Linked DNA regions of Macaca mulatta. The protein of the gene in region 1 purifies or fractionates together with the protein of each later gene. This does not show direct contact. Links are inferred from orthologs where the notes say so. Each region holds a gene or a part of one and is shown on either strand. Other genes may lie near its edges.

The links. The genes of interacting proteins can lie anywhere in the genome.
Region 2: the proteins of PSMA5 (region 1) and PSMF1 purify together in Homo sapiens (co-immunoprecipitation; 3 studies listed by BioGRID and IntAct, with this or other methods). This does not show direct contact. The link is inferred for Macaca mulatta from reciprocal best matches to the Homo sapiens genes PSMA5 and PSMF1.

The regions. Positions count from the first base shown.
Region 1 is NC_133406.1:130,793,049-130,796,704, forward strand, and holds part of PSMA5 (proteasome subunit alpha type-5), read left to right. Parts: intron 1-538; coding exon 539-606; intron 607-1,512; coding exon 1,513-1,620; intron 1,621-1,761; coding exon 1,762-1,820; intron 1,821-2,880; coding exon 2,881-2,983; intron 2,984-3,656. UniProt on the Homo sapiens protein: Component of the 20S core proteasome complex involved in the proteolytic degradation of most intracellular proteins. This complex plays numerous essential roles within the cell by associating with different regulatory particles.
Region 2 is NC_133415.1:83,009,070-83,012,725, reverse strand, and holds part of PSMF1 (proteasome inhibitor PI31 subunit), read left to right. Parts: intron 1-414; coding exon 415-567; intron 568-2,350; coding exon 2,351-2,433; intron 2,434-3,656. UniProt on the Homo sapiens protein: Plays an important role in control of proteasome function. Inhibits the hydrolysis of protein and peptide substrates by the 20S proteasome. Also inhibits the activation of the proteasome by the proteasome regulatory proteins PA700 and PA28.

The DNA.
Region 1 (3,656 bases):
TAGATTTGAGTCATGGTGCGTAAAATAACAGTATAGCCATAATTGTGGTGGCTTGGGCCATCAGGCAAACTCTCTGATATAACTAGTTGTTTTGTGTTTGGGACAGAGAGGCAAAAGGCTTTTGATTTATTCGAGAGTCCTCCACTGTAGTCCATAGTGAGGTGATTTTCTTTTCTCTGTTTCCCAGGTTGGGACATTCGTGTTTGCTTAGTTTGAAAATGTATCATCATCTACAAAGAGTGCTAAAGGGATGTTTAGGGATGTAATATGTGGAAATTCATGTTTGTTTAGCTGCTTTTCTCTGGACTTATTTTTATCATCTGGACTTGTGTGTCATTGTGGATGGTTTTTTGTTTCTAACATCGTTAATACTTGGGTTCAGGGCAGATCATTTCCTATCTAAACTTTCGGGTATAAAATGCCATGGGATAGCTGAATGGCTGCCATGGTTCCACTCCAGAATTTCAGGATTTCCTGAGTGGATGAAAGAGTTCTACAAGGATTTGGCCACTGGGTCACTGTCGCTTTTACATTGCAGGTTGTGCCATGAGTGGGCTAATTGCTGATGCTAAGACTTTAATTGATAAAGCCAGAGTGGAGACACAGGTAAAATTGGCATTATCTCCCTTTTACCAGGATACTTGAGTTGCTTGTTTAGTGATTATGTAGCTGCCTGGGCTATACTGCAGGTGTCTGTGTCAATATTAGATGTGGCTCTTGGGAGTAATTTTGGGTAGAATTCCCAGTTAGAACTTTCTGGGGCTTGGAGTTTAGCTGTCTGATCACTGCAGTTTTAAAGAGGCTCTGGTCAGTAGTGCTGACAGTGTCTTCCTTTTTTTTTTTTGGCTTTGCCTTATATAAAGCATGCATTGTAATGCATTGTTTCCTAATTGACTTTCTGTGGGAGCATCACGGCAGGAGGTGGACATAGTTAAAGGATATTCTCACCTCAACTGCCTTTGTTGCCAGGCTTGCAAATAACAGCCCTCCTCTGGTGAGTAATAACTTGTACCAGCTGACAAATACTGATCAGGGATACTGTTTTTTTTGTTTTTTTTTAAACTTTGTAGCTGCTGCTTGGAGATAGGCTAGTAAGAAAAATATATCTCACGGTAAAATTTTTTGCACTTACTTGCAAGTTTGCTGTCTGTACTTATGTAAGAATAAGTCATTTAACTTAAACATCAACAGAATAAGCTAGAGTCTTTGAGGGAAAGAGGCACTTTTAGTTTTTGACAAGAGTAAACTTGGTGCTTTCAGGGCATATTCCTCTTTTTCAAGGCAAAAATTCTCTTGTCCGTCATTGCTTAGAGTCCTTGTGATAATGTTTATTTCCAGAGCTATTTCTCTTCCTCTCATGTACTCCCAAGTACTCAGGGTTAATGTTAATTAAGAAAACCACATTTGAGCCTTCAGTTTCCAATCCCAGTTTAAAGGAATGTGCGTAGTGAGATGGTGGGCTGCCTCAGTGTCCTTATTAGAAGGGTGTACCATGGTTTGCTCTTCTTCTAGAACCACTGGTTCACCTACAATGAGACAATGACAGTGGAGAGTGTGACCCAAGCTGTGTCCAATCTGGCTCTCCAGTTTGGAGAAGAAGATGCAGATCCAGGTGCCATGGTGAGTGTGATACTTGTGTCGAGTTTTTTTTATTGTTCTGTGGGACTTAGGACATTTGTCCTGTAAACATAACATTCCCAGCCCCTCTCACTCCTTACTTCATAGCCATTTATCTTAATATCTCTTGCCTTTTGGTTCTAGTCTCGTCCCTTTGGAGTAGCATTGTTATTTGGAGGAGTTGATGAGAAAGGACCTCAGCTGTAAGTACCATTTTGTAATTTTCCCCCATGCTTTTGTGGGGAGTTATTTTAATTTGGGGTGGGGACTGAGAAGATTATTGTAGACTATTAGCCAGGTATTAGCACACACCTGTAGTCCCAGCTACTTGAAGGCTGAGGCAGGAGGATCTCTTGAGCCCAGGAGTTGTCATCCAGGCCGTAGTGAGCTTATGATTATGTCACTGCACTCCAGCCTGGATAACAGAGTCAGACCCCATCTCTTTAAAAAATGTATTTAAAAAAGATTATTGTAAAAAGGGCTATTGTTAAGTGTGTGTGTATATATATATATGGCTTCTAATACTAAAGTTTAGTGATTCTATGCCGTTTGCCCAAATTTGGGGATTCCATGAAGAATTCCTCTATTGGAACCAGTGCTAATTCTGGAAGGAATTAGAAGTAACTTGTTACTATAGTCAGGGTATGTTTTAGAGCTTTGCTCTGGAATGTTGATCTGATCCTCATCCTCAGATATTTCTAAGATAGGCATAAACAAGTACCATATTTATACATACTATACTTCTGAATCCCTAAGGAAGCTGCTAATTTTCTTAAACACTTTCTAAAATGTCTGGTTTCTCCAGACATAGAACATCTTTTAGATCTGTGCCTCAATATATTTTTTTTTTTTTGAGACGGAGTCTCGCTGTGTCACCCAGGCTGGGGTGCAATCGCCGGATCTCAGCTCACTGCAAGCTCCGCCTCCTGGGTTTACAGCATTCTCCTGCCTCAGCCTCCTGAGTAGGTGGGACTACAGGGGCCCGCCACCTCGCCCGGCTAGTTTTTTGTATTTTTTAGTAGAGACGGGGTTTCACCGTGTTAGCCAGGATGGTCTCGATCTCCTGACCTCGTGATCCGCCCGTCTCGGCCTCCCAAAGTGCTGGGATTACGGGCTTGAGCCACTGCGCCCGGCTGCCTCAATGTTTCAGTGGTGTCTCCTGGCTCTAGGGCCAAGCATTTGTGCTTTGTTTTAGTGAGACGTTTGTTATGTAAAGTGCCACCACTCCTGAGCATTTTAGTCCTCATTTTGGGGGTTTTGCAGGTTTCATATGGATCCATCTGGGACCTTTGTACAGTGTGATGCTCGTGCAATTGGCTCTGCTTCAGAGGGTGCCCAAAGCTCCTTGCAAGAAGTTTACCACAAGGTAATTAAGTATTCTCACAACTCTTACTATTTTTTTAAATTCATGGTATAATTGACATATAATAAAATGTGCAAACCTTAAGAGTTCAGTTCTATGAGTTTTGACAATTGCAAAACAAGGTAACACTTTCATCACCGCCAAAAAAATGCTCATCCACATTCCAGTCAATCTCTTTCCCTCCTTTACAACCATGTTTACCACTGTCCATTAGTTTTGTCTGTTCTTATGCTTTGTTATAAATGGAATTAAACAATTAGTTTGTATCTGTTTTGTTTAACACTGATTTTGAGATCCATTCATGTTGTACCAGTATTTCCATTTGATGGCTGAGTAATATACCGTGGTATGGGTGTACCACAATATGTTTATCCTCTATCTCCACAGCTTTACTTAGCGTTTTACAATTGGTTCTTGAAGCAAGTGGGCATTTGGTATTTTCTTTGTGAGATGGGAAGATTTGGTTTTGGGTAACTCATTGGTGTGATTGAAGGCTGCTGTACTTATTCAGGTGGTTCATATGGGGAAGCCTGCTTACATTAGCTCCTAATAATATTGATTTTACATGTGGAGGAAATTAGGTACAAAACAGGGTAAATATGAATTTTCTAAATCATTAGGCTACCTCTTAGATCATTTGGGCATTGTTCATAGGATATTGCCAATAATATTATCT
Region 2 (3,656 bases), on another chromosome or scaffold:
AGGATCTGTGTTTTTAGTCAACACCTTGGTAATCTATTGTAGTTAGCCTAAGGTCCAAACTTTGAAAAACACTACTTAGAACTTCTCAGTGATCCTCAAGGTGACTGGCTTTATTCTTAGCAGAGGGATGGGGAAGAGATGATTATTAAACCAACACTGCAGATTCTTGACAGGTTCCAATGCGGTGTCAGAAAGGTAGCTCAATATGAGGGAGAGCACAGTAGAACAGAAGCCCAGAGACCTGGGCCCTAGACCTCTCTCTTGCTGTAGGATCTTGGGCAAGTCATTTCTCTTGACCTCCACATCTTCATCTGTGAAGTGAGGCGGGTAAGATTAGCTTATCTTGTGAGGTTCTTTATAATTCTGTGTTTTGAGGTCATGATCTTTCTCCTCTCAACTGTGGTGTCTTCCCAGCCGGGTCCCAATGATAAGAAGTCAGAACTGCTGCCAGCTGGGTGGAACAACAATAAGGACCTGTATGTCCTCCGGTATGAGTATAAGGATGGGTCCAGAAAGCTCCTTGTGAAAGCCATCACCGTGGAGAGCAGCATGATCCTCAATGTGCTGGTGAGTCTCTGAGACACGTAAGTCTGCTGATGAGATGAGGATGGGAATGGCTGTTTTGAAACCCATTTAACAGTCTGGATCCAGAGCTCCAATGTTCGTGTAGCCCTTACCCGGTGATCCCACTTCTGGAAATTTATCTTAAGGTGAGAACCCTAAGTATAAAAAATATTTGTACACAAAGATATTTACCACCTGGAATTAAGAAGGAGGGGCTTTCTGTCAACAGGGAAATGGTTAAATAAAGTAAATCTGTTCAGTGACAAGACAGAAGGAAAAAACTTAGGTAACTCCAGTGGGCTACTTCAGTTCCTTAAATAAATTGAATTCTTTGCTGCCTTGGAGCCCTTGCACTTTATATTTCCTATGCTGGAAGGCTCTTCCCCTCCCCCATCTGCCCCTCTCACAGCCCTCCACCATTCCTTCAGCCTGGACAATTCTCTTTCATGTTTGACTTCCTCAAAAAGTTCAGTGCTGACTACCCACTCCTACCATTCCTACTGCCAAAAAAATCTAAATTATGTCTCTCTACGCCATCATTTTATTTTCCTGCGTGACACTCATTGCAGCTTGTAATTGTGTAGTTATTTGTGCTTTGCTTTTATTCTGCCATGGGACTGTATGTGCCACAAGGACAGTGACTTTCTTTTTGTTAACTTTTGTCTTAGTGGTTTGTGTGTGACCATGTGGAAGTATCCTGCTCTATGTATTATACTGCACTTTGCCTTTTTTTCACTCGATGTTTTGGAGGTCTTGACATGGAAATACATGTAGATGTACCTTATTTGTTTTAACTGTTATGTAGTTTCTCATGGCACCATAATTTCTTTATTCCTTTCCCTTTTGGTGAACATTTAGATCTTGTGTCAGATAGGGTTCTTGGTTTCAAACAACAAAAACCTCTTGGGTTAGTTTAATCAAAAAGGGTTTATTAAAAGAACCAGGATCACCCAGGCGCAGTGGCTCACACTATAATCCCAACACTTTGGGAGGCTAAGGCAGGTGGATCACTTGAAGTCAGGAGTTTGAGACCAGCCTGGTCAATGTGGTGAAACCCTGTCTCTACTAGAAATATTTTTAAAAATTAGCCAGGCATGGTGGTGGGTGCCTGTAATCCCAGCTACTTGGGAGGCTGAGGTAGGAGAATCCCTTGAACCCAAGAGACAGAGTTTACTGTGAGCCGAGATTGCACCACTGAACTCCAGCCTGGGCGATAGAGCAAGCCTCTATCTCAAAACAAACAAAACAAAACGAAAAGAACCAGGATAGCTCATTGAAACAGGTTTAAGGCTAGGTTTCCAGAAGCAGTGTCCCAAATCATGCCCCGGAAACCGCTGCTGCCACCAACACTGCCCAGTATTAGGTACTGGCTGATTCTCTCTGCCCTGGTGCACCCTTCTGTTAAGCTGCTGATATGACCCCCTGGCCTCTGCTGCTACCCTCATTAACAAGATATCTGCCCCTTGCTGGGTCTGCCTCTTCATGTTGCTCACCTCCAACTCAAAGTTGATGCATCAGTTCAACACCTCAGTTACCATGCCTGAGCCCTTTTGCGAAAGAGCCTGGGAAGTAGGTGTTTTAGCCTCTGCCTTGGAAAGGCAGTATTCCTAAATCAAAGAAGTCTCTAAGCCTTAGGAAGGTATTTTATATAAACAGTCCTTATATATGTCTTTGTGGACATATGTGAATATTTCTTTAGGTTGAAGACTCTGTTACTCTCCCTCCACCCTCCCACGCTTAGCCTAGAAATATCCCAGTCTCTCACTTTCTATTTTCACTCATCTAGGAATATGGCTCACAGCAAGTGGCAGACTTGACCCTGAACTTGGATGATTATATCGATGCAGAACACCTGGGTGACTTCCACAGGTACTTCTAAATGATGTCTCTTCCCTGGAAAAGAGAGAACCAATGGCAAGATATAAGGAATAGGGTAGATGTCTCCAGAAAATTAAGGAAGGTGGATGGAAGAACCTTTTATTTCTGGGCACAACTTCCTAATTTTCTTTTCTGTTTTTTATGTATTTGAAGAGGAGACTCACATAGGAAATGCCACATGAGACAAGATGATGCAATCAGGAGTCCACAAGTGTTGTGGTGGCTGCAGAGTAGAGGTGGAGCCAGGCCAACTCATTCAGCCAGAGCAGACTCCTGGGAGAATGTGTACCCCATTGGGTCCCCAACCCCAATCTCCAACTTAAAAAAAAAATTATTTTCTTTAGGGTCGTTTTAGGTACAAGCAAAATTGAGCAGAAAGTGCAGAGCGTTCCCATATTACCTCCTGGTCCCATACACCCACAGCTTATAGCTTCCCTGTGTCAATATCCCATACATAGTGATACACTCCTTACAACTGATGAGTCTACATTGACACATCATTATTAGGGCTCAAGCCTGCTGTTGTGCAGTCTGTGGGTTTTGACAAATAGATGAGAATGTGTGTCTACCATTAGTATCACACAGAATAGTTTGACTACCCTAAAAATCTGTGCTCCTCCTATTCTTCACTCCCTTTTCACTAACTCCTGGCAACCACTGATCTTTTTACTGTCTCCATAGTTTTGCCTTTTCTAGAGTGTCATATAGTTGGTATCATACAGTAGTACATTCTAGGCCTTTTCAGCAGATAGAACTAGGAAAATTTTTCCTTATGAGTTTAAATTGCCACCTCTGTTTTTAATATAACACTACAGGATTCTTTTTCTCTTATTCCGTACTTATATGTCCCTTCTCCTGTGGTGAGAACCCTGATTCCCAACAGCATCAACATATTTACTTATTTACTTGATCCCAGAATACACACAAATATTTTCTGAATGACATCAGTGCCTACTAAGAACAAACCTACTAAGTAAAGTTCCAAATGATTTATTTTCAGTTCTTTTTGTCTTTTACCTATGTCCCACAAAAGATGTAGGCAGAGTAGTATCTTCCAAAGGTACTTAGATTAGTGCTTGTTTTTTAAATCAATATAATGAAGTTATCTGTTTTATAGATAGTTAAGCTGATTTATGTCTGCTTTATTCCATTATAGGGAATTTTCCACCATCTTCATTGACCACCGCAGGATTTTATTTTTTATTTTATTTTAT